Alligator mississippiensis: one gene and its partner. The protein of the gene in region 2 interacts with the protein of the main gene of each other region in a pairwise test. Links are inferred from orthologs where the notes say so. Each region holds a gene or a part of one and is shown on either strand. Other genes may lie near its edges. The genes, in order: ERH and POLDIP3.

What was found.
Region 1: the proteins of POLDIP3 (region 2) and ERH interact in a two-hybrid assay, tested with the Homo sapiens proteins (2 studies listed by BioGRID, with this or other methods). The link is inferred for Alligator mississippiensis from reciprocal best matches to the Homo sapiens genes POLDIP3 and ERH.

The regions. Positions count from the first base shown.
Region 1 is NC_081825.1:232,518,613-232,534,453, forward strand, and holds the start of ERH (enhancer of rudimentary homolog), read right to left. Parts: upstream 7,803-15,841; 5' UTR 7,787-7,802; coding exon 7,784-7,786; intron 7,743-7,783; exon of another isoform or gene 7,644-7,742; coding exon of another isoform or gene 7,641-7,643; intron 2,403-7,640; coding exon 2,315-2,402; intron 1-2,314. Other genes in the region: SLC39A9 (zinc transporter ZIP9), read left to right, coding at 8,164-8,259. UniProt on the Homo sapiens protein: May have a role in the cell cycle.
Region 2 is NC_081827.1:89,168,633-89,184,075, reverse strand, and holds the start of POLDIP3 (polymerase delta-interacting protein 3), read left to right. Parts: upstream 1-7,218; 5' UTR 7,219-7,294; coding exon 7,295-7,353; intron 7,354-11,067; coding exon 11,068-11,455; intron 11,456-14,401; coding exon 14,402-14,479; intron 14,480-15,443. UniProt on the Homo sapiens protein: Is involved in regulation of translation. Is preferentially associated with CBC-bound spliced mRNA-protein complexes during the pioneer round of mRNA translation. Contributes to enhanced translational efficiency of spliced over nonspliced mRNAs.

The DNA of each region.
Region 1 (15,841 bases), on a different chromosome or scaffold from region 2:
AGGCTTGGGCAGGGCTGGCTCCCGGGGGCAGGGGAGACCTGCACCCACCAGATCTGTGTGGAAAGTGGTAGGGGTGGGGTGGGTTCATGCTGCGAGCTCCTGTTCCCCACTCTGCTGCCCTCCCTTTGGACCTCTGCAGCACAGTGTGTGTGACCTGGCGTGGCAGGGCACAGCGGGAAAAGCTGCCTGCCCCTGTGCGCTTTGCATTGCCCTGGAGACACTACCCTTACACGTGCAGGCAGCAGTACGGGGTTGTGCTCCTCACTGCTGCCCCTGTGTGCAGGGGTAATGGGCAGACTGCGGCTGGACCCGGAGCAGTGGGGAGAGGGGTGGAGCAGGGCTGGACCTAGGGAGTGGGGGAAAAGGGGCCAGACCAAGAGTGGCAGGAAGGGGGACACAGGCAATTTGCTAATGTGTATATATACATCAGTTGAACACAATGTTTTATCAATATATTTACAAATTTAAAGCAATTTGGAAGCCTACCAGTGCCTCAATCATTATAATAAAATAAATTCTAAATACCTATACATTTCAGCATTTGATTTTGGTTTTGTTATCATATAAAAATCGGAGCTCCTTCTGCCCTCTTTGCTCCCCAGGGCATGGGTCTACCTGCAGCTGTCCCCCCCAACTGATTTTTGGATCTGAGCAGCCCTGATATGCCAGTGCCCCTCACTCCCAAGCCACAGTCTGCCCCAGCCCTGCTGGTGCTCCTCACTCCCAACCCCCAGTCCTGTACTTGCCAGTGACCTTCACTCCCAACCCACAGACCCCCACTCCCAGGTCCCAGTCCCACAGTGTGTGGAGCAGGGGAGGTGCTTGACCATAGGTGACACATCGGGGGGAAAGGGGCCCACAGAGGGACGTGTGACCCTCCCTTCTCCCCCTCAGACTTTTGTGCCCAGTGGGCACGGGGCTGCAGCCTAGGCAGACTGGCACAGGTAGGACCTGGCATGGGAGTGCAGTGGGGTGGCAAGACATGTTGCTACCACTGCCAGGAGCAATGGACTGGGAGGGGAGATGGACAGGACAGACATACTGTGTTCATTCCTTTCAGTCAGCCTCTCACACTGCCATTGCCCAGCCGCTGCCGCCGCTCCCCTCAGGCCCCCTGTACTGCCCCTCTCCCCACTCCCTCAGGTACAGCCACAGCCTGAGTGGAATAGCAGCAGCAGCTGGGCCATGACAGTAATGTAGAGCTGTGGCCAGGCAGACAAGCAGCTGTTAGCAGAAGGAGGTTAGGGCAACAGAGCATGCGTGCGCGCGTGCACGCGCCCACCCCACCCCCATTTACTCTTTGCACTGTTGATGGTGCAGCTGGCACTTTGATCCTGGCAGTGGCAGCAGCAAGTCTTGCCATCCTGCTCTCCCCTCCCCATGCTAGGTCCCACCTGCTGGGCTGCAGAATTGGCTCCTCCCCATACCGTTCCAGCCAGGCTGCAGCCCTGTCTCCACTGTGGGTGCACAAATATTGGGGGGGGGGGGGGGGGCATGGGGAGCTGCTCCCCCATGCTGCCTGGCTGCCATATGCATGTATGCGCACTCACACTGTGATTGCCTTCCTCCTGCCCAGCCCTTCCCGCCATCAGGCTGGAACTCTGTAGTCTGCGAGCGGAAACCCACAGTTTCCTGTGTTTTACTCTTTTAAAGGAGAAAATCCGTGTTTTTCTACAGCAAACATGGTTCCCTGGTGATCAGGATGTTCAGCACTTCTCAAAGGCCACCAATACATTCACAGCAATTCATATCCATTTATAAGAAATATTTCCTTCCACTTATCACAGCTGCAGACTTTTGCAGTATAAGTGTGTAAGTTGAACTAGGTTCTTTCTGGATCATCCGTTACATAAACAAAGGAGCTGCAGCTGAGCCTTATTTAGTTGCCAATATAAAGGGCAAAAATATCTACATTATGGTTTTCAGCAGTATTTACTTTGCAGGGCTAATGGAAATAAGTAGTTCTTTACAAAATTAGGCCCTGATTCTGCACTGAAATGTTGTTCTACCCTGGCACGGCACTGCTCTCATTGCAGGACTTGGGAATATAATGAAATCAAAATAGGACCCTGACTAAACAGAAGCAGCAAATGTAATTTGGAGCTGTTTTAACATAAATTTTGCTTGAACTGAATGTGATCCTTGTAATGAACTTTCCATTCTTGTAATGTTATTTCTATATGTTTTTTGCATTAAAAATGCATTTTTGCTCATTCTTACAGTTAGTGAGTTTAGAAAATACATGGAAACAACTTTCCTTAACAAGAAAGGAGATAAGCTAAAGCATTTTTATTGCAGAAGTAACGACACCTACCTTCCATGCACTCGTTCACCGATTCATAATCAGCATATGTTCTGCCTTCTGGCCTCTTGGTAGGCTGAACAAGCAGAATTGTGTGAGACTGCACAAAAACAAGAAAACATTGACTCAGAATTTTCAAAAATCATAAATACTTGAGCAAATCACTAATCTTAATCACAAAAAGACTAAACTAAACTTTCAGCTGACCATTCACACATAACAGAAGACAACCAAAAAATCCTATTTCTGTGTTTCTTGTTATTACTACTATTATCCAAAGAATAATTATGGCTTGGGCTTAAAACAGCCTTGCATTTCTTTCTGAAAAATCCCAGAAAGCCATTACAATACTGAAAACACATTTCACATTTGTAGCAAAGAATTAGAAATTGCAAAAAGATCTGCTAGGTGGCACCACTGTATTTCATGTACCTCCTGCTAACCAGCAATTAGCTATTTCCAATCTCAGTCGCATTAATTGAAAAATTTATAGTCAATTATATGCATTACTCCCAGAAAGCAATTTTGTTTTCCTTGCACACTCAAAAAACCTAGTGTGTTCAAGAAACAGTAAGCAAGGATCAGGCTTCTTCTTTGTAAATACGAGAGAACAGCTAAAGAAAATTAAAGCATATAAAAACCATGCTATCTGCATTTTATTCAGTTCACTTTTCCAATATAAATGTTAGCAAGTAGGGATTTTATTTTAATAGGCAAGAGGGTAGAAAAAATGGAGGGAAATCAAACTTCAGTTTACCAACATTACCCATGTCACAAAATGGAAATTTAACACGTAAAATATGAGAGATTATTTACAATCTTTATAATCTGAATTATACATGAGTGCAAAGCTCCACAACTGTGATCTACACTGTTATTTAAGAAAATTGTTCATAAATTAACTAAAAAATGGATGACTTTAGTATTAGAAATTAAGTACTCCAAACGCAAGCTTACGAGAATACTGCTTAATGAAAATATGTCTATCTAGTCAAAGAGGATTGTTGGCATAGAGAACTGCACTGTGTATGGTGGATTAAGTTACGAAAAATAGTTTCCCAGAGAAACTGCATACCTATAACCAACTGTATGTAACATACGTGCTGTGTGTAGTTTGCATTATTCCTATACTATTTTCTCTACAAACAAAGATAACGAGACTACTTCAAAAAAGTAAAAATATTCCATGATGTGGCTTTATGTGACTGGTTACAGATGGCTGAAAGTTTGCAAGTGCACAGGAAACAACACTGCTTCCAATGGTGATAATTGAATTCAACACTAAAGAAGTCAGGTGAGTAGACAGCAATACTGCACACAAAATTACTACTAACAAATATAAAGTAATGAACAGTGGAAAGATGTGAACTTCTAATACACATTATTGCAAAAAGGAAAGAGACACAACCTCCTTTTGGACAGCCCAATCAAAACCTCATCTCAGTATCTGGCAGGAGTCAAAAAGAAGTGTTACTAGGTTTTATTAAAAAAAAAAAGGGGGGGGGATTGGAAAAGTGTTATACGGTTATTTTATAGCAATCAGTAGTATTCCATACCTGGAACAGTACTTTCAGTTCTGGATATCCTGGCTCAAAAAAATGATATAGCATAGAGGGGATTTCGAGAAAAACAAACAAACTTACCTCTCTAGAAGAATTTACGTCCCTGCTCTCTGCTCCCATTTATACAACAAACATTTGTCTTAACCCCTAATCCTACAGCATCACAAAGGGAACTCATTATACCAGAAAACCTTTTCAGTCACTGCTGTGTAGGTTACACTCCCATTTTTAACTGTAGCATTCCTTATTCCTGGAAATAACTATGCACTCAGCTGTACTGAAGAGCATTATGTTCAAACACTCTAGATTACTCTGTATGAGTACAATGTCCCCCTTAATATCATTCTGCCAATCTTTAATTTTTGTTTTTAAGCAGTGATTATGTACGTCTACAACAATTATGAAAGTGTTAAATGCTGTGGCCTATTACCAAGCCTTACAGAACCCCAATTAGAGTGGGAGTGTCTCTATTATGATTCTCAAACAGTTATTTGGATTTTTGAATACATGTAATTTGCGTTTTGATAACAGATGCTGCTATTTTTACATAAGATTACTATGCAGTACTAAGTATATAAGAACCACGATTATTTTTGTCAAACAAACATGTAATATTAAACAATGAGTTGAATCTGATAAGACCTATTTTCCCTAAAGCCATGCTGAGTGGCATTAGTTAACAAAGATTAAAGACTAGCTGTTTAATTTTATCCTGTATCAGCATTTATCATTTTATTCACCACTGGTGTCAGATTATGATGCCATATAATGACCTGGGTAATCCCACTTGCCCACTTTAAATAAATACTACTTTAAGTCATCTGTCATTTCCCCACCATTCCAAGCTTAAGTGACATCTGTAGGCCAGAGATGTCCTCGGCCAACTCTTTTAGTATCTCAGGGGGTGTCCAGATGAGCACACATGTGGTTTGTGGTGCCTCAAACCTGTTTGAAGCACAGCATACCACATGCGATGCATGTGCAACTCTTTGCCACGCTGCAAATTTGATACTGGGAACTCTCAGTATTAAAACAAACAAAAAAAACGCTGTCAAAAAAAGCTGCACAACTGGAAGCTGGGTCCTCCAGGGATATGCTCTGGCTACCAGCCAGAGTGTCTCAACTGCTTTAGGTGTCCCCTGGCTCCTCTTCAGCATGCCATGAGCTGGGAGGAGTGGGGAAACAGCCATTTCCCTGAAGCGGGGCATTCTGCCCCACACCAAACCCCATGAGCCGGGGCGTGCACAGCCACTAAAAGCAGTGGCACAAACATGTGCTATTTTTGCTTCAGCAAACGCACACAGGAGTATGTGCCCCCTGGGTGCAAGTTATTCAGACCTTTATAAATGATTATTCTAAGAGATGTTATCTAACCCAGCATTTCATGTCATATTAGCAGCACTGTCACTTGCATGTGAAAGGAAGGGATTCTTCCATTCGGGACTGGCGAGGCCTCACCTGGTGTACCAGGTCCAGTTTTAGGCAAAAATGATTTGTGGCCTGGGAAGCAAGACTTATGAGACTGGAAGAACTGGGGACATTTAGTCTGGAGAAGAGAAGATTGAGGGGGATTTGATATTTGATAACAGCCTTCAAATACCTGAAGGATGATTAAAGAGAAGATGGAAAAACTATTATCTGCAGCTGTAGGGGACAGGACTAGGAACAATGGCCCTGAGCTGCAGTGAAGGAAATTTAGGTTGGAAAAAAGGAGGAACTTTCTATTAGGGTGGGTCAAGCATCAAAACAGGTACTGAGAGAAGTTGTGAAATCTCCATCCCTGGAAATTCTCAAATGTTGGACAGAGACTTGGCTGGGATGATTTAGTCAGGGAAGATCCTGTCTTGAACAGGGGGGCTGTACTAGATTACCTCATGAAGTCCCTTCCAGCCTTATTTTCCTGTGCACAACCTCCCCAGTTACTAACTGGAAAGTATTTTTTCACACTCCTGAAATATTTATATATTTTCATAAATGTATACCATCCTGTTTTTTGTAAAATGCAGAGCAAAAATATTTACCAAAAACTTCTCTTCTGCACCATTAACAATTTACTGCCTACATGAAGCATTGCGTCTATACTATTGCTAGATTTTCCTATTTTGTTCCTAAAATATTTAGCTTCTCTCTGTCATTTTGGTGTACCAGCCAGAGATCATCTGTCCAATCTTGCTCCCCCACCACATCTATCTTCCCATATCCATTTTCTGTATTGCTATTTCTTCTTTTGCATTTGTTGTGTTGGGATTTAAGTTTCTAATTTCTGCTTTTGATTCGCCACCGAAGTAAGGTGGGTTTTGAGCTCCTTGGTAGTGGAACTGGGGGCTTTTAGTCATTTAATAAACTCTTTCTAAAGAACTCCCGATTTTCACACAATTGATTCCTTCCAATTCATTTCAATCAATTTCCCTCAACTTTGGGAAACGAGGATTTTTCCAACACAAAAAGCAAAAATAACCCATTAAACTGAGCTGCAGAATTCATTGCTATAAGATAGGGGCTTAAGACAAAAAAGGTCAAACCTTTCTAGAAATATGAAAATCTCTATCCCCAGTTAGAGATGGTATATCCACACCACCACACATCAGAACAAACTGACACGGGATGGGAAATCCTGCCCAAAATTGGGATTCTTGTACCTTTGACAACTGCGAAATGGGTACGTCTACATAAGACACTTTACTGAGCAGCAGACCAATCTGCTGTGCTAAATAAAGCATCACCATCTACGGGTGCATGGCGATTAGGGAATAGCAGACTAATTTACTGCGGTACCCGACAGCCCAGTCAGATACAAGTGGTATCCAGCAGCACAGTAAAGTAGTGTGCTTACATGCACATGTAGACAGTGATTTTGGGATTAGTTTACTCTGGCTCAAACTGAGCCACAGTAAATACAGTTATATCAATTACCTGCGTAGAAGCACCCAGTGGCTACACAATTGGTCTGAATTATTGTGGCAGTTCCTACGTTTAAAGGAAGTTGACAAACATTTATTTGGGTATGCATCTACAAAAGCACCTGGGACGGTGCAGACAGCTGGATCAGTCAGGCTCCATACCCTGGCAGAAAGGTTTCTACCAGCTGCAACCCACCTACACTACTGCCACCAGTGAACAAGCAAGGGAGGGAAGTGGGGCGGAAAGACCCTGTGCCAACCGCTTCAGTGCAAGTGCAGGCAGGGATTACCTAGCAGACCTTTTTAGTGGATTTTGAGTTCCTCCTATTGCACAGCAGAAGCAGGGGCTTCCTGCAGCAGGCTCCAAAGCTGCGGGGAGCAGCACGTCTCTTATAAAAAAGTTTCACTTTTTTTTTTTTTTTTTAAAGAAGCCAGGTACTGCTCCAAAGGGGCGCTCGGGGCCCAGGAGGCTGGGCTGGGCCGGCGGCAGGAGCCACGTTTCCGAGTGTCAGGTGGGCCGGGCCTGGGGACGGAAATACGGCAGCAGCGCCAAGCCGGAACGAGCAGAGGGACGTAGCCGGCTTGCGGCAGCAGCTGAGACTCGAGCGGGGCCCGGCATGACCCCCCGGGGAGGCCGCGGCCGCCGGGGACCGCCTTTCTGTCCGGGAAAAACTCTGCCGGCCGCACGTGCGCCGCGGGGCCCGATCCCGCCCCTCCCCCCCCACGTGCGCCCTTCCCCCCACGCGGGAAATGGCGCGCGCAGCCCGGCACTGTCCCCCCAGAATCGCCCCGCACCCCCCGGCCCCTCCGCCTCCCGCTCCGCGGCCCGCGGCCGAAGCCCCTGCGGCGCCCCCGCTTCTGCCCCCTCCCCCTCACCATGGCGACTCGCTCTCCACAGCCCCCGGCGCGAACCAGCAGCTCCCAACCGTCCCCCACAATCCCCCGCGCCGACCGGAAACGCTTCAGCAACCGCCAAACGGCTTCCCTCCCTCCCCCTTCTCATTGCAGCCCACTTTCACCATAGAGACAGCACCTCCCACAGAGCCAGAGCGCCGCCCAGGCACCTCGCGAGAATTGGCGGGCGACCGCCGCTGCGCATGCCGGGAAGGCTTCCGGAGCGGAGACTCGGGCTGCCATGTTTGCTAAAGGCAGCGTTTCCTTCCGTCGCGCCTCGTGAGGTCTGCCATCTTGGCGGTGGGTGACCCGGAAGCGGATCCGGCGGAGGGAGCAAGCGCCAGAGCGAGAAGCTGCCACTTGGCCTCAGCGGGGCCAAGATGGAGCCCGGAGCTTGAGGGCCGAGGTCGGGCCCCGCGGGCAGGGGCGGGGTCCGAAAGCGGCCCCGGCGCGGCCGGCAGCGCTGGAAGCGCCGCGGGGGAACCTGAGCGCGGGGCCCGTCGCCATGGACGACTTCGTGTCCATCAGCCTGCTGTCGCTGGCCATGCTGGTGGGCTGCTACGTGGCCGGCATCATCCCCCTGGCCGTCAACTTCTCGGAGGTGAGGGCGTCCCGCGTGTCCCGGCTCCATCGCCTCGCCGGGGGCTGCCGGCGGCCCCTGCACCCTCGGGCTGAGCCGGGAGTGCCTGGCTTAACCCCTGGCTGAGGGGGGCACCAGGACTGTAGCCGGCTGTGCCCGCCGCGCTTCAGAAAAAAGGCTGTCGAAGAAGTGGTGGAGAAGGGCAGCGCGGGTGATTAGCGGTGTGGAGGGGCGCCCGTCTGAGCAGAGGCTGAAGAGGTAGCAGCGAGGGGCTGGGTCAGTAGAGATGTCAGGTCTTGAGAAATAAACTTTAAATACCTGGTTTTCCTTGCTGAAACTGATAACAATGAAGCAAGTGAGTGTTAACTAATTTTGCAGAGGAGAGCGTTTAGTTGCTGACTTCCCTTGGGTACCTTAAAAGGTAACTGATGTCTATTTATTTTTGTCACTTCTCAGTCAAGTTTGAGGGTGCTGTTTTGGTTAATACGATTACGCACAACGAAGTGGCATATTTAAAAATAAGGAGATCACAAGGATTAAGAGTTAAACCTCTGGCTTTTAATGTGGGAGAATATAGCACCCCTCGAATTGAGCTTGTTTTACTAATCTATAACGTCAACTCAGTTTTATAATAGTAGAGTCTTTTTGCTTTACATTTTTTAAATTGAGATCACTTAACTTTTTAGCCCCCTTTACACCCTCATTCATTACTCAAATATTTATTATGTGCAGTTAGTGATGTGTTAATATGGTAAACTAAATGGTCTGAATTTCCTGATTCACTTCTATGTTTGAACACTTACTGGAAGTTACAGCTTGATTTTTTTATTTTTTTTTTTTTCCTTGAAAGGTACCAATCACCCATGCTTTCTGTTGCTTAAAGCATAAGCTCAGGTTTTTTGGAAATACTACTTTTTTATATTGTGCCCCATACTGGCAATGTGTAGCCCTAGGTGTTAGAGCTTTAATACAGTTGACTAAGGCTTTTTGAACGTATGCACCATTATGAAGTGGAATGATGTTTTTGGACTTCAGAGTTTTAAGAAATGGGTCACAATAACGTTTTTAGTCTCCCTTGATGTATTAAAAAGCCAGCAGGAATGGAGCTGCTTTGTAAGAGTTTAAACTAGAAAGTAAAAGCCTTGTTGCTTATAACTTGCAACAGATGCCAGGGAAGAAGGGTGCTATTGATTAATTTCTTATAGTAAGGAATTCTACTCCTGGAGTACATGATTGATGCTTTATTTCATGCTAATGTACCTTTCAAATTAGACTTCAGTACTCTTAAAAGGAAGAAACTGTTAGGACAGATTTCAGGCATTGAAAAATTACCCCTTGGGGTAAGTAGGCTTAGTGTTATAGGCTTATTTTGTACTGTACCTAGTAGAGTTGCTCCACTTGTTTTCAGTCACATGTTTCTCTCAGATTCAGATATGTATGAAAATAAGTGGAGCGACTCCATTAAGTACACTACGTTTCATCTTGGGAACATTATTTACCTTATACTGTTTTTTGGCCCCCATTTGTCAAATGCACACGTTAATCCAGAAGGACTAGTCACCTGCTTAAAGTTAAGCATATAAATGAGCCTTTGCATCATTAGTGCCTCTAGTTGGATGCCATCATTGTTTTTAAGTCACAAACTTTTATCACTGATGAACTAATGATCTTTGGCAGCACTTACTAAATAGTTACCTTGTTTTTCTTCAGGGAAAAATGGGTATATGTTTTCTTGTGAGGTTTTTTTAAAATACTGTTAATTTTTTTAACATCTTGGAGGAATGTAGGTCTTTTGGGGGCTTGTTTGTTTTGTTTGTTTTGTTTTTGGTTACTGATAAGCTGTTGATTGATTTTGAGCAGATTTGTTTTTAGTTTAGAATAGAGAACTTTGGTCGGGTCAGTTTTAAGTTGCATATTTATGGTCTTTCATGTTAGATCCTGGAGAAAATTGTCAAGGGATCCATTAATGCCAGACTAATGGATGGCAAGCTGCTGAATGCCAGCCAACATGGCTTTGTGACTGGTAGGTCTTGCCTGACCAACCTCATCTCTTTCTATGACCTGGTAACATGCACCCTGGACAAGGGAGATGACATGGACGTCCTATATCTGGACTTCAAGAAGTCCTTTGACCTAGTTTCCCATGATGTCCTCATGGTTAAGCTGGGGAACTGTGGCCTTGATCATCATACAGTCCGATGGCTAGGCAACTGCTGGCTACAGGGTTGGACCCAAAGGGCGCGTCCACACGAGCGCGCACGTGCCTTTTGCCCCTCCTCAAACCCCTTTGAGGTGGGGCAACAGACGTGTGGGAACAAAAAAATGTTCCCCATGTTGCAAGTTTGCAGTGCAGGGAGAAAATTTAGACCCCTGGATATCCAGGGGTCTAAAAAAATCGATGTTTAAAAAAGTGGAGCAGGGCATAGTCCCTGACTGCTCCCTGAGGCAACCGGAGGCTGGGTCCTCCATGGAGACACTCTTGCTGCCAGAGCATCTCTATGGTTGGCCCTCGCCCTGGTGCTGAAACGTGGCTGGCCAGGCCACATGTTTCAGCACCAGGCTCCAGTGCCAGTGAGCAAGGGGCCGACAAACTCCCCTCAGAGGTGGTGCAAGCACCTACTCTGGACTCCTTCAAAAAACAGGTGGATTTATTTCTTGCTGGGGTCACTTGATCCCAGCTGACTTCCTGCCTATGCGGGGGAGGGCTGTACCCGATGATCTCATGAGGTCCCCTCCATCCCCTAATGTCTATGAAAATGTATGAAATCTATGAAATAAAAGTATTTTACTTACTAGTATGCATACTTAATCACTTTTAAAAGTTAAGGTAAGGCAAACTGCATTTTCAAGAGCTGTGATTATCAGATTGGCTTTCTGAATAACCATTAAAGAATACTGTCCCTGTACCCTTTTAATATTAAAAACAAATGCTGTAAGATGCTTTTGGAAAATTGAGAAAGTGTTTGTATCTTGTGAGCCACTAGATCAGACATTGGAAATTGAACCTGTCATTAATTTGTCTGTTTTGGTTTTGGTGTGGGTGGCTGGATGAGTGCTGCAAGGCCTTGCACTACCACCCCTAAAGCCCCTACCAGATTGGGGCCCCATGCTGTCTCTGCTTGACCCTGTGCTATAGGATCCGGTCCTTAGCCACCTGTAGCCAGCTCCTGTGTGGCTGGATTGGGCCACAACCCACTTCCATGTGCTAATCCAGTGTTTGGCTCATGTGGCTCCCCATGGGTCTGGAAATTTGGCAGCAGAGGAGAGGCAATTGCTGCCAGTACTTCCCACCACCACATTTTTGGACGTGTGGACTGGATGACATGGCTCCATGGGCCAGGGATGAGTGGTGACTTGAGAGACCAAGTCCTGAACGTGACTTCTGATCACTTTTTACATATGCTGTGGGGGAGACTGTGGGCTTTATGATTCTCTTGTTTTCTCTAACTTCTGGACTGGTGTACTTCACAAAACTTTAACCACAATATAATTCAAGCACTTCTGCCTATAAGTGATCTTCAAATGGCTCCCATTTCTATAGTAACTAAGTAAGGTTAACTAAACTTCATCCACTTTTCAGAATGTTCAGCCATGCTGGTTTTACTTTAATTATGTTAAATTCTTCAGCTTGTTTACGTGTAGTGCACCAGTTTAACTGAAGGTTTGTGTTTTAAGAATTGATTTAAGCTGAAATGGCATTAAAGGCTGTGTGGATAATCTTAGTTTGCTTATGTTGATTAGAAACGTGTGTAACATTTAAAAAAAAAAAAAAGAAGCCTCCTTTCAAATTAAATGTCTACGTGGAAGTTGTGCTGGTTTAGCCAAAGTACAATTTGTATAGTGAAAATAACCTAATCATTTTGCTGTGTAGCTGTGATAATTGTTAATTTCTGAAAGTGCTTGCCCCATAGTATTTTTCTTAGTCTTCAACCCTAAACCTTTGCAAATGACTGGTAACATTGTCATAAACTAGCATTGGCTTTGTCATATGTCAGATGATGATGATCAGTACTTTCTCACTTTATTTAGGGAAAGTAAAACCATTGTAGTGGCTTTCTCTCTAATTATATAAAGGCAAATCCCTTTTTTCATGCTTCACTAATATTTTATTTAACACTGTTAGTTGACTTTTTACCCATTAGAAGAATCAAAAGCAATTATGGCATTCTGGATTTATGCAACTTTGGATCACTTCTTTTATCAAGCCTGACAAACTATATACTGGCACGTCTGGGAGTTCTTTTATTATCTTTAACTAATGGAGTTCCCTAGTTCAGGCTTTCATTTAAATAAATTATTTTAATGATTTACATAAATCTAGTTTTGAACTTACCTTGGAGATTGGATCTCTTCTATAGCATATAATATTAATTGCAAAACAGGAATTTCAGTGCTTGCTCCAATTTTAACCCTTCATTAGGGAGTCTTAATTAACAAAACATTAAGTATACTTTTCAAATCGAAAGTTTTAGCTTTGGCAATATATTGGGTAAAGTATGGCCAACTTGCAATTACTCTTACATGTCATGTCCATTCATCAAGGATTCCTTGCTGTAGGGGATCCTGTTCACTCGAAGTTACAGTCAGAAAACTAACGGTTGTAAGGACAGCATCTTGCGCAACACCTGCTACTCTGCACAAATGAGACATTTGCTATTACTACTGTTATCACTGTAGTTTAGAACCCCAGTATTTTCCAGTGCAGAATGAGTTGCATCCTGTTTTTTTAATGTATCAAGAATCCAATAAATTAAAATGGTAGTTTTACTGTGAGTTATGAGCACAAGAAATTAAATAAAAGCATGCTTTCAGAAAATAGAGCTTACTGGAATGTACTTGACCTGTGGTTAGCAATTAAGTGGCCATAGTCCACTCTCCTGAAGGAACCTGTGAGTATTAATTTGTAAAAGGTATTGACCCCTTATCTTCCAGGGCTTGGTAGTCCACACTTTGTGAACTCCTGTGGGAGGAAATACTGACAAGGTGCACAATGCCGGAGTTCTAAGGAGATCGGGCATTTACATGCTTGGACAAGCTGGTACCTTATTCCCTGCCAAAGCCATTGTCATCAGTGGGATATTGGTGCCCACTGCTATGTTGGTGGACCCATTGTATTGTTTCCGGCCTGCACAAAGAACAGGAGGGCTTCACTGAGCTTTCTGTCCTTGCCTAACAGCTGCAGAATATCCGTGAAGTACATATCTGGAATTCTGAAGCAAGGGTGTGTGGACATGCATCTTCAAGTGTCTTTTCTACTGTGGGCTGCATAGGTAGCTCTGGGGAGCTGCTGCAAGCTGTTCACCCTCCCCCCACCTTCCTTGCAACAGCTTGGAGTCTGTGTGCCAGGGTGGATAAAAATCAACAATTAAACAAATAATAAAAATAAATAATTGTATTTTTTATTTGTCAGATTTTTATTTAATTGTATTTTTTTATTTTTTTGTTAAGATGCTTTTTAAAAAAAACTAAACCTATATAAAGATAGTTAATGCTCAAAGGTATTGTCATGGAATAGGGATTATAACTTCTAATCATATTCTCTGTGAGACTATATATTCATGTAACCTTTTAAAAAAAGTTTTATGAATAGGTCATGACTGGCCGTGGACTATATTAGGGGCCCAGTCTTACGGGGTTCCCAGAGGCTCCCCTGTAGATTAGTAAAGATTAATGAAAACCACTCTATCCAGTGGGACTCAGTGCTCAGTCTAGAACAGGGGTTCCCAACATTTGTGTGTCCAAGGGCACATTTGAATTTAAAAGAAAAAGCAGTGGATGCCAATATGAGTATTAAAGTTTAGACTTTAGATCAATCCGATCATCTCATCTATTAGTTAAAATTGCATTAGAGCCACAACTTCAAAATGCAGCTTTGCTTTACTTCTGTATTCTTTTGAAGTTTTATCCATATTGCCTGTGGGCATCACGCTGGGAGACTGCTGGTCTAGAAGATCCCCTTAAGCATCTCTGTGATGCTTAGTTCCAGTTTTCAAACTTGGATTTTTGTCTCTAGAGATAACATCCTTGTTAACAGCAGTATATGGAGATGAGAGAGAAGACCCGATTACCCACCCATAAACCCTATTGTGTCTCTGCAAGTTTGTGTACAGAGTCGAGCCCTTACCTCTCTCTAAAAGTGCAAAGTTTCAAGAAGTTAAATGAATAAAGGATTGTTGGGGGTTGAGTAGATCTGGGCAAGGAGGAGTAGTCTGGAGATAAGTGCAAGTACAAATAAAAGAGAAACATTTTGAGCAGAACATTCCAGAAGTCTTGAGGGAAAAGTTTCTGAGTTTATCCTCTCCATTGATTTGAGAACTAGTGAGGGAATGGTATGGTAGAAGAGAGACCTATCATGGCAACAGGCTTGCCAGACTGTAATAGAGAAAAGAAATCTAGAAGAAGGTGAAGAAAGCCCTAAGCTAATAACTATGGCTGCAGTGCTCGTTTGATGTCTTCCTAATACACCGTGGCAAAAGTGTCCCCCAAATATCCACGATTAATCTAGTGAATTGAAGATCATTTACCTCCCAATGACTTCACAAGTATCTGCTTCAATTAACTTTGGTAAATACAATAAATGAATCACAATTCATTTTTCTGATGTAGCTACAAAATTGATCTGAAAAAATATCAAAATAAATTAATGCTTGAAAATGTATAGAGCAGCAGTGGTCTCCAGCCTTTTTAAGTAGGAGATCACCGTTGGCATTTAAAAGCAACCCAAGATCTACTATGCACCACCACCGTCCCCCCTGTTTGTCGATCCCACCTCCTCCCCCGGTAAGTGTGGGGAGGGAAGAGGGGGGTGGCAAATTGAGGCAGAGGGAGAAAAAATTATTTGGGGGCATGCCTCCCCAGCAGGTAAGTCCCACCTGGCCAGGGCCCCACTGAGCTTATCCCGGCTCCTGCCTCTGCAGGATTGTCCCTCACTTCAGGGGCCTTGATCCAGCCCCCGCCCCTTCCCTCCTCCACGGACTGACCTGCTGGGCTGGGGCGTGTGCATGCATGCATGTGGGCACTCAGCCCCCCACCTCAGCCTCAGATTTACTCCAAGAGGCTCCAAGATCTACTGGTGGATTGAGATCCACTGGTATAGAGTGTACCTTCTAGAAATGAAACCTAAATCTATCTCTGAGTTGTGAATAATATGTATTAAGCAAGAATGCACTTTTTGTAGAAAACAATGATTAAATCAAGGCTTCCTGACCAGTAATTTAAATCTGTTTGATTTTTAAATTAGATCTACCCTGCTACACCCTGCACCTCCTCACTGCCAACAGCACATCGCCCCCACCCTGACCCTGGCCTACCTTGTGCCCACTCCGGATTTGCCCTGGCTGGAGTGAACCCATGTGCACAACCCCAACCCACCCTGCGCCTGCTCTGGAACGCGTGCCTGTGCTGAGCAGTGATGGCAGCCAGGCAGAAGCTGCTGCTCAGTGCAGAGGAAAATCAGCCCTACCCCATCATCGCTTTTGAGCCCTTCTTGCTGCAGCTGCCCAGAGCCTGTGCCTGGGCTGCCCTATGGCTCCTCTCTGCCATCATCACCGCCGCCTCCAGGCTGCCACAGCACTGTAGTCTGTGGGTAAGGTGCCTGCTGAAA
Region 2 (15,443 bases):
GACTAGACAGAGGGTGGGGGAGCCAAGGCTTTGGCTCCCCCACCCTGCTCCCTGCAAAAAGCAGAACAGCAGCAGCATGGGGCGTTAGGTGGCAGCACTCCACCCTAGCCCCCTCCCTTCCACCCCCGTTATAACTATATATATATATATATAGTTATATAGTTATATAGTTATATAGCATCAAGCAAAAGCTTTTCTTCACGCACCTTAAACCACATTTAAAGCCCGCATGCCCGTTACAATAAACACACCTGGTGACCTGTGCTCCCATATACCCGTCTGCAGTCCTTCCCCTAACCCAACTGCAGTCTCTTCGTCCTTGCCCCAATTTTGAGGTTTACATTCTCAGTTCATTCACTGTCATTGTCAATGTTGCTTCCACTGTTGCTAACCCTGCTGCTGTCATCATCACTTTCTCCAGGTCCAGTTGTGTCACTGTCCTCTTCATTATCCCTGTCCACTCCCCCTCTGGGGGTGGATCTTTGAACAGCGTGTGTCAAGTGTTCCTTTGCCAGGTGGAGTTGGATGCAGCTTCTCCGTCCTCTCCCACCCATTTCCAGTAATAAGACTGAAGTTCAAACAGAAACATTTTAACGCAGTCTGTTTCCTCGAGTTCCATGTGTCTGTAGCCCAGAAGTTATACTCTGCTGTTGTTTTCCTTACCAATTTAGGACATAATCCTCAGGTGAGGGAATATGAATGCTGCTTTGGCTGTAGACATTTGACATGTTGGGGTGAGGACAGTACAAGTAACTCATGTTTGAGAGATCAACCCGTAGTTTGCGGTGACTTGCAGCCTGCTCACTGCATCCCCATTTTTAATGTGTTCTGGTGCTGAAAACACGACACACAAACTGTTCCCAGAATTGTGCAGCCCAGTATGATTCAGAGGAATTAAGGGAATGTCTTGCTGCAAAGCATCATGGTCCTTCTCATTCTGATAAGTGACCCTCTTATCCTCTTGACTAAGCCAAGCTAAATAGATGTTCATCAGTACAACAAGCCTATTCTGTCTAGGCACGAGCAAAGATGGATGGTGCCCTCCTGAGAGGCAGTAGCAAGGGTAAGCTTATTAGACAGATCAGCATAGTTGCATGGAGCAGTGTGAGGATTGCATGGGAAGCCACAAATGGGTGGTCTTACAGTTTAGGGGATACAAACCAAGATTGGAAAATTGACATTTTCCAGAACCAAGCTTCCAAGGGAACTTTTAATTCCCTTCAAATTTAGCTTACCTGACAGGACACTTGGCCAGCTTCTGGGCCTGTGTCCATAGTGCCCAGTTCCAACTTGGACAAAATCCATCACAAAAACAATTTGCATCATCCCTGGCACTGTTATTGCTAGTGAAAGATGTTTTTAAAAGAGAAGAAGGGTCAAGAAAGGACCTGCACATTACAGAGTCTCATTCAGTCTGAGCATAGTAGCGTATCAGCACCAGCAGTTGTAAAACACTCCTTTGGAATATGAATCCCATATGTATGTACGTGTGGTGGTGGGGAGCAATGAAATTAATAAGTGGGCTGGAACACAGGTTGGTTTGCTAAGATTTGTAAGACGAAAATAGATGTGCAGAAACTAAAGCTAGAAGAAAGTAAAAGAAGCTAAAAAAACAAACTAAAACTAAAAGAAAGCCTACTAAAAGAAACTAAAAAGACTAAAAGAAACTAAAGGAAAGCCTTAAAGGAAACTTTAAGGTAAACTTGACATTTTAAGAATCGGGCTCAGGTGATCAAAGGTATTTAGACAACTATCTGTGTCCTTGCACATCTTCAGCATGCAGCAGCATCCCCAAAACTACCACTCAAGTGCCCCATATCCCTGTGGGCACCTAAATTTGGTGCCTACATTTCTATGCTAGGCAGCTACACTTCTGTCAGTGGGCATGTAGAGTGATGCTTCAGCACCAACACCACCCCACAGTTCAGAGCCCCAATTCAAACCTTAACTTCAGGGGCCCTGAAATAAGATTCTCACCTACCTCACCAGGAAGGTCTGTTTGCACCCATGTTTGCATCCTTCACCCCCAGAGGGATCTAGTGTTTCAACTACTGACATGGGATGTGAGAGACCCAGGTTCAAGTACCTGCCTGAAACAGAAAGAGAGAGAGAGAGAGAGATACCAATACTCTGACACTGTAGTTACAGCACTCAAATGGCTGTAGGAGACTGAAACATAAGCCCATGCTCTAGCAAATATTTAATCATTTATAGAAAGCTAAGCAGCTCCAAGGGAGAGATGGAGAGATACTATGTGGAATAATGTGCTGCTGGTCTGGTACTTCCCTGGGATGTAGCAGCTGTATGAGTACTTGCTCTAAATCAGACATGCTTTCTCTCTCAACTCTCAGGTGACTGCTCCAACCAGTAGGTTACTGAGTAGGTCTCCCTCTCCGGCTCCCTCCCCACCTCTCTCATTTTAGGCAGACTGGGGGAATTAGGCCCCTTTAGCTGCAGGAAAGGTTCATGGCTCAGGATCCCAAGGGGAGGAGCTATGTGCCTAGCCAGACAGTTGCTTAAGTGTCTATGCCCAACTCCCTTTTATTTCACTCCGCATCTCTTCATTGTTTCTATACCTTGCAGCTACCTTGAAGCAAGTGGAGTTGTGTCAACAGGCCCCCCTGGTGGAGAAGCAATGAATGCCAGCAGAATTGGAGCTTCCTGCTGACAAAACTACAGTTTCCTCAGTATCTAGTGAAGCACGTAAACCTCCACCAGCAAAACTTTGCCTTCCTGAGCCACCTACCTGCCCCCCTGCTTTGGGTATGGAGCTGGGATGTGTAACCAGAGCAGAGGAGTTCACTAGATGGAAGGCCTCTAAAAGCCAGGGACTGCGATGCCTAAGTGTCTTGGACGATCTGGGCTTATGCGCCTATATGAGAATGACCCTGTACCATGGAGCTCTAGCAGAACATCATCAAGGAAAGTGCTTTGGGAAGGAGACCCCTTTAGTGTTGTGCCTGGGAAATGAGGGGAGATGCAGAGACCTCTCTCTGTCTCTCTCAGGAGTTCTAAGGACTGTGGGATGGAAGAAGGTAAGATGCTGGAGCAGAAGCAGTCTCATAGGCTTTTTTTTAAGTAAAATGTTTTCTGTTCCAAACCAGATCAGCTAAATCAATTCCAAATCTGTGAGTCATTCAAGAACCATATGTGGCCCTACTACCAGCAAATGTCCCCCACCCCCACCTGGGGTTTCAGATGTTTCCAAATCCTTTGATAGGCATCCTATGTGCAGGCCCAGGCCTGGAGGCTTGGGCTTCGGATGTCTCTGGGTTTCTCTTGCCCTCAGCCATCTCAGTCTCATAGGCCTTGGAGACCAGGCACCCCCCAGTTCCTGAGAAGAAGGAATGTTAGGGCTGACTCCGTTTCCTACTTTGTTGGCATATTTCTAGTTATGGTAAATTGGCACATATATATTTTGCCAGCAGCTCCTGTTGGTTTGAGGTTCCTGCAGGGGAAAGGACAAATTGAATTGTTTTTTAAACAGGTTTAAAATAGGGGGTCTGGATTCTTAGCCCATCGCCTGGATTCATTTTTCTGACTCCTTTGTTTGTGTTTGCCTTTCTCAGCACTGCCCTCCTCCCTGCTCTCTGCCCTTCCCTCCTGCTTTTGTATTCAAATTTTTCTGTCCTTATACAAAGCTTTGGACATCTCCTTTCACAGCATCTAAGGAAGTGAGCTCCAGCCCTTGAAAGCTTGTCTTTGTATGTATGCATGTATGTATGTATGTATCTAGGCACATGAAAGATAACATGGAGCCCACAAGCCTCTGCTGTTGTTTGATAATGCAGAAGAGATTTCCCTAACTTAAACATCAATGAGAGCAAAGTCAGGGTAGTTTTATACCCTGTAGACCAGGGGCAGGCAATAATTTCCACTGAAGGGCCACTTAATGAGTTTTGGTGAGCTGTCAAAGGCTGCAGTGACAAGTGCCCCACCCCCTGGTTGCCATTTTGGAACTGGAAGTCCCACCCCCTAACCCCTGACCTTTGCCGTCGGAGGTCCTTCCCCTTGCCTCCAGAAATACTTCTTTTGGGAAGGGGGTTGGCCATCTTGGAAACAGAAAAAAAAACCCAGGAAAAAAACCAAATTATATACTAAAAATCAAACATTGACAATAATATTTTAATTTTATTTTTTAAATATTTTTGTCCTGATTTGTGTGTGTTTGCATGCCATATATAGAAGTGAATGCATAATATCTCAAAATGAAGTCTTACTCTTGTATATTGCAGGCAGGGGTGTGGAGGGGTGGGGGGAATATGGGGAAGTGGGTTTGTGAGGGGCTGTGGGTGTGTTTGTATGGATGTGTATGTGGGGTGTGAGGGAGGGTGTGGGGGTTTGTGTGGATGTGGGTGGGTGGGTATGGGGTGTGTGTAAGAAGTTGTGTTTTTGTTGATGTGTGGGTGTGCGTGGTTATGGGGTTTGTGGGGGTGTGTAGAGGGGGAGGGTGGCTGGGGTGTGTGTGGTGGGATGTGTGCACGTAGCAGTGAGCAGGGCTCCCCCCAGAGGCATGTGGGTGTGTATGTGGGGACGGGTGGGGGGTTTATGGCAAGGTGGGCAGGAGGGTGTGGGTGGGTATGGAGTTTGTGGGGTGTATGATTGTGTGAGGGGGAGGGTGTGGTTGTGGGGTTAGTTAGGAGAGTTTTGGGTATGGTGGGGTATGCATGGAAGCTCCCTCATGTGCACCCCTCTGAGCCAGTCAGCATCCATCTCCGCCTCACAACAGCCTGGAGCCCACACACCCTGCAGTGTGTCCCCACCACCGCCAACAGCACGCAGCCCCTGCCCCACCCCAGCCCGCCCTACACCTGCACCAGACTCACCTCCGCAGGAGTGGATCAGCTGGAATACACACGCACAGCCCTGACCCAGCCCACCCATGGTGCATCCTGCTGTCCCCTGGGCATGCAACAAGACTGGGGCAGCTCCACAGCTGGACTGCCTTTCTAGGCAGCCCAGGCAGCAGCAGTTCCTTCCGGGTGCTGCCACTGCTGGCCCTAACCCCACAGTACCAGTGGGGACCTGCACACCGCCCCAACCCGGACCACCCCACACCTGCTCTGAGCAGTGGCAGTAGGTGAGCAAAAACTGTTGCTTGGCATGGGGAGAAAAGCAGCCCGTCCCCCCTCCCCCTCACTGCTGCTGGTCACTTCCACCCAGAGCCTGCACTGGGCTGCCCTGTGGCTGGTCTGCATTGTCACTGCTGCCCTGCTGGGCAGCCCAGAGGCACTAATGACAGCGGCGGAGACAAATACAGTGCTAATGAATGCAGTGAAAACTAGTGAAAGCACTGGAATGGTGATGGGTGCGGAGTGCAAATTTTGCAGGACTGGCCCCTCCTACTCTGTGAAACCTGTGGCTGCAGGGGGCTCTGCAGCTATGGGGCCCCCTGCATCCAGCCGCTCACCATTGCCCTGCCACTGATGCCAGCTTCTTTGGCCACTTGCCACGCCCCCCCCATGCCACTGCTGCTTGCTGCCAGCTTCTTCAGCCACTCACCCTCACCCCCACCCTCCCCACTGCTGCTGCCTTCTTTGCAGCAGGGGGCCCCAAAACTATTTATTGCAGGGAGCCCCAAAAAATTGTGGGCCAGCCCTGGAACTTTGTAATGGAACTAAAATACTTCAGCTGTTAAAGTGTGTTTTGTTCTGTCAAGTGAACCACAGTGGTCACCTGACAGGTTGTTAGAGGTACAGTTATATATATATGTTTTTTGCAAAAAAAAAAAAAGCATGTGTCTGTGTGTATGAGAACATGTATGTGTATATATAGGTACACACACACATTTATATATATATATATATATATATATATATATATATGCATACACACTTCCTATATATACTTTTCATATATTTTATTAAAGTATATAAAGGTAGTTTTGTACCTTATAGACTAACCAAAATGTGCCTGTGTTTGTATAGAGTCCTCTGTGTGTGTACACATTTATCTCTCTCACTCTCTCTCTATAGCTATCTATCTCTATATTTATCTAGAGAGAGAGAGAGAGAGCGAGCGAGCTATGTAAATGATACAGGGGTGTAGGTTGTAGCCGTGTTGGTCTAAGGACATAGGCAGACAAGGTTGTTTGGGTGAATCTGATATCTTTTATTAGACCAACTTAAATAGTTGGGGGAAAAAATTTAGCAAGTTTTCGGATTTCAAAACCCTTCAACGGGCTGAGGCAGTCTCTGCAGCTGCTGTGTGCTCTTCCTATTCATTCCATCCAAGAAGAGCACACACCAACTGCAGACTTCCTCAGCCGGATGAAGGGTTTTTAAACCCGAAAGCTTGCAAAAAAATTTTTTTTCCAAGTACTTAAGTTGGTCTAATAAAAGATATCAGATTTACCCAAAAAACCTTGTCTGCCTATATAAATGTTATGTGTATACAGACACACACACACACACACACACACACACACACTTTGGTTAGTCTAAGATACAAAACTACCCTGCCTTTTCATATATTTTATGAAAGTACATGAATATATCTGTATATACAACAATACAGGTTGTAGCCGTGTTGGCGGATTTACCCAAAGAACATTGTCTTTCGTGTTAGGATGTTTCGTATTTCAGGGGAGGATGCTGATAGAGGGGATCCCTTGGGCAAAAAATTTCTCCCGTGCGGAAAGTACACAAATTCGGCCGAAGCAAAGAGAGGAGCTCCCAATATGTTTAAATTTGCTTCATCTCCAAGCTACCACCACTATCACCTCCCCAGCAAACTCGCGCTGATCCCACACTATTTTTGCTAACCAGATCAGGGTGGTCGGGCAGATCGCTGCTCCCGGGCATCCCGCGAAGTAGGCGGGTCACCCTAAGGACGACCTGTGCCCGCACAAAAATTCCTCTCACATTAGCAGTGAGAACCCGGGCGTCACCCCGGGTCGTTATTTTCCTTACTCATAAGTTTAAGGCATACACCTACGCTTGCGCGGCGGGGTGGCGGCGCTCGGCGGGTTACCCCAAGGTCACGGTGAGAGCGGGGGCCTACCTTGTAAATTAGTTTCTGTTTAGTTTCATGCCACTCATCCCGTACCGACAGTCGAACCCGCGGTCTCCCGCAGCACTCGCAGTTTTCGGGCAGGAATATGTGCAAACGCGGTGCTTCGTTATGCAAATATAGCCCTGCGTGGCCGCGGGGCATTCTGGGAGCTTCCACGCTCCCGGGCAGGGCCGCGTGACGCGTGCCGTGGTCGCTACCGGGGGCGGGGCTTGTGGCGGAAGTGCTCGGTCTCGTTTCCAGGTCTCGCTCGCTGCGTCGGATCCGTGGGCCCCGCGGCAAGATGGCGGACCTGTCCCTGGACGAGCTCATCCGGAAGCGCGGCGTCAACGCCAAGGGCAGGTGAGCGGGGCGGGGCACAGCGGGGGTCGTGGGGGGGCGGCTCACCCGGCCCCAGCCTCAGCCCCGCTCCGCCTCAGGTCCTGGGCCAGCGCCGCCGCCCTGACTCGCACCCCGACTTCCCATTGGCTGCGGCGTTGGCCTTGGGGGGCCTGTTTGGATGCTGATTGGCTGCGTTGGTTGTCAGTCAGGGCGGGGGAGAGCTCGTTCGGTTCACCCTGAGACCCCGGGGGAGGCGGGGATCCCCCTCCCGCTCCCCCTGCAGCCCCGCTGTGCTGGGGGGGGGGGGCGTCCAGCCCAGCTTCAAGCGGGGTGCCCTGCCCTGCCCTGCCCTGCCCTGGCTTCCCCCAGCCCTGCAGCCGCTGTTAGTGATGGGGCCACCTGAGCTCTTCTCTCCGGCCGTTGATCCTTCTGTTCTCACCCCCCAGCCATGGCTTTGTCCTGGCTTAGAGCTGAACTAGCCCCTACCTCCTCTGCCCACATGGGCTGGTGTTAAGGCTGTGGGAGCTGCTCCCTATCTATTGAGTGGCCGTGGCTGGTCTCCCCCGTGGGCCTCCAGTTGCCGATGCCCTCGGTGCAGCCGGGAGCTGTGGGCTCTGGAAGGCTTCGTGAGGTGGCAGGGAGTGAAAGGTCCTGGCTGTGAGAGGACAGGTTGGGCTTCTGGGGCAGCCTTCCTCTGTGCTGGCAGCTGTTCAGGAGGACCTGAGAATGTAGCTTCAAAAGCCTACCATCTCCTTAACCGCCCGTGTGGTAGCCCTCCTACACACCCCTTGAGGTGTGGCTGTGGGCAGGGCCCTAGAACAGGTCTTAGCTCAGCAAAGGGCTTTGAAGACAAGGCCTGTAGTCTCTTGATTCTGCTGCTCCGCTGCCTCCTTTTTTTGTAGCCCTTCACCTTCCTTTTTCTGCATCGGTTAACCCTCCTCAGGGATGCCTGTGGGTCTCTTCTCTCCTTCTCTGTGTGTCTGGTGGTACACAGTCCCTGTGATTCTGGTCTGAGGGCAAGCATAGGTTTGAATTATTCTAGTTTAGCCCACATGAACATCTACAGGGATTTCTTTGGGCGATCTCTTTTATTGGACCAACTATATACTTTCAAAAACAAGACTTTCTTCATCAGACATTCTTGTCTTTTAGAAGGCGATACCTAAGAGGTAGTAGCAAGTAGCTTCTCGTTTACCTTTAAATCCTAGATGAGGACTCAGCCTTGCCTTCATTTGTGCTATGCTTGGAACAGTCTCACGCTGCTTAATATGCTTGGCATCTCGTGGCTCCCCTTTCAAATCCCTTCTTAACATCCATTTCTTCCAGGAAGCTTTCCAACCTTCTTCTACTCAACAATAATCTCTTGACAGCAACCTGTACTAGAGTGTTGCCTTTCTCTTGTCTTTCTTTTATTTATTGTGCATGATTTAGAGTGCAAGCTTTTTGAACCAGCTAGCATGCCTTACTCAGTGTTGGGCAAACAGTATATTTGTATTGCAGTATAAATGCTATTAAATATAGTCACACAAAATGGTAATAAAAAATTGAAAGCCTAAACATAAAGTGTGCTTGCGCACTCATAAGCATGATGATGATGATATTATTGTTTTGCTTTTTAGGTATTGAGGAGGATTTGTAATAATAGGAACTGATTTGGATGGAGTAATGCTGTTTAAGGGTCTCCCTTCTTAGGACCCCATTATGCTACTCTGAGAGTGATTCTCTACAGAAAAGTGTTCTTTCCCAAATCACTCTTCTTTAACTATGACTCTCTTAAAAACATGGGTTTAACTTAATCCCTAGTGCAGAGATTCGTGCCTGATTTTTAGCAGCTCTGATTAGGGAACAATGTCAGTCATCCTGCTCAAATGCTAAAACAGGGTATCAGATGACTTCTGTTTTTATTTTTGTTTATTTGACTCCAATCAAAAAGCAATCTATTCCTTTTGAACCCATTTAGGGATTGTCATATTGTTAAAGTATCCTTGTCTAAAATGATGGGGAGTTTTGGTGGATAAAACGCCTCTTTTTTTCCATTGTTCACAGCACAGCTCCCAAAAAAGCATGTTTTGAAAAACTTCACAGGCCACCAGTGCACCTAGTAGTCAAAGGCCTATTATCATGTCATACACCTCTCTAACTTCCTTTCACATATTTTCTGAATATTACTGACATCAGATCTTTATGATATTGCTGTCTCTTAACTGTTACTCTGGCAGTGTGACTTGGTGAGTAAGACTGATAGTAAACCATAGCAGACATTTTTTTTTAAGAAGCATTTTCATTACATTAGCCCATTCATCAGTTTTCTACCACTTCAGCCTTCAGCATGTTGAGTCAGATAAATTATATACTGATGTTTGATTGCTAACTACAATCACTGATTTGTGGTGTTGATCGGAAATTTTCAAATGTTCCTTGATTAGATTTGAGAAACAGCCACTTGGTGAATTCGATGTGCTGAAGGTCAAAATATGAGATGAGCCACTCAGCTTGATATAGAATCAGATCTCTAGTTGCTAGCCAAAAAAACTTTGCATGTTTTCATTTAAGTATTTCATAGTAATGGAAAGATTGGGGGAAGGGGAGAATCCCTCTCCCAGTAAAACCCCAAAATATTCAGACATCTGTCCAAAAGGTAAAATGGAACTTGACACAACCAGCCTTTGCTAATAATGTTTTAGGTGGGCAAGAGGGGACAAGAGGTGGGCAAGATGGTACTGGAAGCTGACCATCTTTTTTTGGTCCATGTTCTTCCTCTTGGTATCTAAATATGCTTCATCTTTCCCCCAGTGCTCTGTTCCTAAAATCCTGAGGGGAGGGACTTCCTTCTTGCACATTTCCTACACAGTTTGTGAGATTTGGTGTTCCACCATTGAATGCAAGCAGAGCCTGGTTCTGAAATGCAAAGCTGCTTTGGATTTTTTTAAATATTTTTGCCTAAAGTTAAGTAGAATAGTTAAAGTCACGCAGAGTTATGATCAAGTCAGAAAATGCCACAGTAAAGTTAACATACAGAGCCTGGCTTACCTCATTGTATGTTCTCATGATGGTAGTCATTTCTGAAATAATGCAACATATCCTACAAGGTTTCTTTCAGCCTTGGATTTGCCTATAAAACATCTCTATAATACTAAGAAGTCCCCTTCAGAAAGGCAGTCAAAAACACATCAAGCTTAACCCATTATGGGGAGGTAATGAATCAAAAAGCCAGTAGTGGGGGAAAAAAAATTTCAGTACCATAATTTTAAAACTAATTTTCTCAGTTTTATCACCTGCCACTGAATCTGTACCCATGCTCCAAAAAACCTATGTGGGGATGGACACATGCAAAGATTCAGGCAGTTCAGTTTCTGTTTGGGGAAGTTAAGGATAGTGAAATCAGGTTCCTACTTGTTAGCCTTCACCTTGCTTCTCATTAATACCTTATAGTTGCTTGTGCTTCTTCCTCTGTGAACTTTTATTCTTCAGTATTGAGTAACTTAATCTATGAGTTTGTGCTTAAAAATTCAACCCAGGGAATTTAAATATTTTTTGCCAGTAGCTTAAAGCAGAGGCAGTCACAATTGCTAGTGATGTAGATGTTTCTGGCTTCGGTTCTGTTTATGCATATAAATGCATGGGATTCTAGATGGGACTGTCTCAGGGTTTGATTTTTAGTTTTTTGTAAAACTGTTGAAAAGTTTCTATTAATTCTATAACCTGCTTATATTGGGTCTGAAACTTCTTTTCCAGGCTCAATACCAGGCCAGTATTTGGAGGTGTCAGATCGCGAATTGGGATCCAGCAAAGTCTTCTAAGTAGACCTTCAGCAACCATCGGTTTCCAGCGGACTTTTGATGCTCGGCAAAAGATTGGTCTCACTGATGCCCGACACAAACTGGGAGTTAAAGACGCCCGAGAGAAACTGGTTCAAAAAGATGCTAGATTCAAAATCAAAGGGAAAGTGCAGGATGCCCGTGAAATGCTGAATTCCCGCAAGCAGCAGAGCGTGGCTGCTGAGAAGGTGACCAAAGTGGTTGATGCCAGAGAGAAGATCAGCTTAAAAAGGAGTGCTCCTGCCATTATGAGCCCAGCCATGGGTACAGTGAGCCCAGCCATGAAAATCACCAAAACTATTCAAGTAAGTCACCCCCCTCATACCACACATCCCCTCCGTGCTCCCACCCCCCAACCAGCTATCCCATTACAGGCTAATTGAAACATTTATACTTAGAGAAGTCCACATGGTTACAAGCCAGCCCTACGTGAAACAAAGTGATACAATTGAATTAAGTGAGAGAAGTTTTTTAAAAAATTATTATTTTTTAATTGAATGAAGTGAAAAAGGTCTTTGGAACCAAGAGTTCTAGTTGTTTTGTATGTGAAAAAAGTGATGCACTTACATCTTCATGCTTGGTTTTAGGAGCTCTGAGAATTTTTGGTACCCCTTGTGCTGTGTTGGCGGGGGGAATTGTAAAAACAAGATTTTACCTAAGAAAAATGCATTTTTTCCCTTCTAACTGCCAGTAACTCTCTCCGTGTGTCAAGGTCAGATTATCTTTCTGAGTCTGTGCAGACTATAGTTGATACTCTGTGAGGTTTGAACATGCTTAGCTCTTCCAGTTAAAATCCAAGGAAAATGTAAATATTGTTACTAAGCCTTACACTGCTGATCATCTTTGCAGAACCCTTCTAACATGCTTGCACATCATGGCTGGAAATTCTGTTAATTAGGAAGTACAGCCCACAACCATAACATTTTTAGGTTAGACTCTGTATTTATATGCATCTTATTGCATTCTTTTTGGCCTTCAGCAGAACGTAGCTTCCTCTCCTAAACTCCAGTCTTGTTCCTTGTCCAGTACAAGGGTACTGTTTTACCATGAAGGTCCTAAGCATTAGGGAGTGGCCTAGTTATTCAACACTTTAATGCTGGAATTCAAGTTCTGTCCCAGTTTCAGTAGAACTGCTGACTGCCCGCCCAGCCAGTGTTCCTCTGCCCATTGATTTCTGACTTCACTTGTCATGCGTATTTTCCCATTTGTCTGGCAGCTTGAGTCCTAACTGATTCTTCTGGGCCCCAAAGCCATGTATCAGCTGCAGGCTTGTCTGTTGAAGTCTATAATGCACAAAATGACAGTGAACAGAAACAAACCTCTCTGAGGAAAAAGAGAATGCTGGATGATCAAGAGGAGAGGAGTGAGCAGCAGACCATGCCACTTGCAAATTATGATACTCTAATCCTGATCCTGGTTATCTGCTAAATCATTGTGCATCTCAAGACAAATAATATAGCTATCAACACCTCTTGTTAAATCGGCAGGCCAACAACTCCCTTCATTTGCTTCCAGCCTTTGCTAAGAAAAATCCCTATTCCCTTGAATTTAGGTGGGGATTTACTCTGTTTGGGTCCCATTGACCTTGGTCTTTGCTTAGCTTTTTCTTCAAAGCATCAAAATGTGCACCTTTCTCCCAAAAGTTAGACAACTTGCACATTACCGCTTCAGATTTCCCTCCCCCAGATAGCAGCTCACAAAACAAAAAAGCTGCCCATTCAGTAGTTTTCAGATTAGTCAGTTAAGGATGCTTGCAAGTGTCAGTGAATGATTGGAGCAGAGTTGGTGCATATGGGGCTGTCAGCCATGTGTTTGAAGGATTTAAGTATTTTCTGAAAAATTAGTCCAGCAGCAGTGCACTTTAAAAATATCAGTCATGTCAGTAATGACTTGCCTCAACTGTGCTGCCTTAGTACTCTCTCTGTGTAAACAAGTGAGTGCAAGGTCACACAGTGACAAAAACCGCAGGTGAACTCCTACATATGAACTAAGATTCTTGATGGGTTTTTGCCAGTTTCCAGCTCTCTGCTAATGCCCTTTCTCACAACCAGAACAAGAGGAAATGAGCTGAACTATTCTGGTTCTTTTCAGGCACATGGCTGCATTGTTTTGATTTGGTCAGATCTCATGCTATGAAGACGAGATCTGTATGTTATCATCATTACTTGACTGAGACCTTCAGCAAAATCTTGAGGTGCTGCTGGTAATATATTAGGGCAGATTTTTCTCTCTGAATTGGAATCATTAAGTAACTGAATAATTAACTTAGACTCACACCGCCCACTGTTGCCAACATAGTGGCATGGGATGGTGGGACACTGGTTGAAGGCACAAAAATAATGTAGTTATCCATCATTTGCAGGCCTGCAAATTGGAATCACTGGCAAATCAGAACAGAAGGATGCTGTACCGCAGGGAGCTCTTCTAAATTAAATGCAGAAGCCATGCTTTGACTGTTCATGGTGACTGAAGGATCCCATGCTACTGTAGCAGGAGCCAGAGGATTAGCCTCACTATCTTGGACAAATTCCAAATTGTTCTCAGGGCTGTTGAACTGCTCAGAGATATAATAGTCCAGAAAAGAACCCTTCAGCAAAGCTGTACACCCTGGATTTTTCCCAGTTGCACAAGGCAACAGGTAAAACTGCTGAAATGGCCAGCAGTGCCGTCTTGTGCTGCACTTCATTCAAGTAAAATGTATCCCAGCTTTACTGTGAAAGAGAACTTGGTACTTCACTCTTGCTACAGATTTGAGTTAGTTGAGCTTGCATCCTAGAATGCAGTTTCTAGGGAGTACCATAAATGTGGTTATATACCATTTGTTCCCTACAGTGCCAAAGGATAGTGGCATGTGATCCCCATTGCTTAACCACATTAACTAATTCGTATTTATTTATGCACCAATCCGATTGTAATAGCGTTCGAGGTTTTTAATTCATTTCCTGCTAATCTTGAACCAAAGCTTGCATAATTTGTGCTATAAATCCTCTGCCTAGACCTTAGCTTTTAATTCCTTTATGTTGATGGGATGGTCTCTCACACAGAACATGTACTACAGAAAAAAAACTACATTATTTTTGTGCCTTCAAACAGTGTACCACCATCCCATGCCGCTGTGTTGGCAACAGTGGGAGTGTGAGTCTAAGTTAATTATTCGAAGGGAATGAACTAGTAGCTATCCTTTTTGAAGATGCATCAAAACTATGTGTTGATGTTAATGCTTTGACTGGTTCTTCTTTCTGGTTTTGCAGCAGAAGGCTGCAGCTCCAGGACACTCTCATCCTACGGGAATGAGGATCAACGTAGTGAACAACCACACACACAAACAGGTGAGTGAGTACTGCTCTTTGGCAGCATGGAATTGCCTGCTTGTTGCTATGGGTTTTTTCCCACGAGGATTGGGTTGGAGGGGAGGGGAGGATTCGAAAGTTCAGTCACACAGCTTATTCAGATCCATGTGTTCTTGTGCAGAATCATGGTAAAATAAATGGGATGTTTCTTGTCCTAACCATGTTATCTGAACACCAGTGGGTATTTTTGACCTTAGCCAATCTAATCTTTTTCAGGATTCTTTGTTAAGTTCCCCTTTATGTTCCTTCCTTCTAGGCTCATGTCATAAAATAAGTGGTGATTTCACACCAGATCAGGGATTTATTCATCTCCATCATACTGTCTGCCTGCCTACCTACATTGTATCTGATCAGAAATGATTAGGTGTGCTGTTGAGAGGGTTTGCTTTTAGAAGCTCTAGATGTTGGCCTTGATGAAAGCAGATGTTGAATTTCATTGAGTAGTGTTGTTGGGTAGTGTCCCAGTTCCTTAATTGAATAGATTTCCACTAAAGACCTAGGGGAGACATTTTGAACCTTGGGGTGTCACTTCACTTCCGTGACCATGTTTACATTTTAAAATTTTAGTCCTGCTCAAGTTCAGTCTTAACCCCTTTGATTTTGACTCCTCCCCCCCCCCCCAGCTTCTTTTTCTTTTTGGATTTTTCTCTGCCGTGTCTGTTTTTTCTTTGTTGCTCTAATTAAGATGTTTGTTCTGTCTTGGTCATCTTGCCTTGATTACAGCAACTTTAACATTTCACTTCATTCACTAACCACCTTCATCCAACAAGATGGCCATCACTTAATTTTTTTCTCCTTTGTTCTGACACGGCTGCATTCCTTGAATCTTTTCACTTCTTTTTCCATCTGTTACATTCAAGTGCCAGGTTCTCATCTTTGGAACTCTTCACCTCTGCAGCCGCCTGGGATCCTCTGCATCTATCTTATCCTACCATCTCTTGCC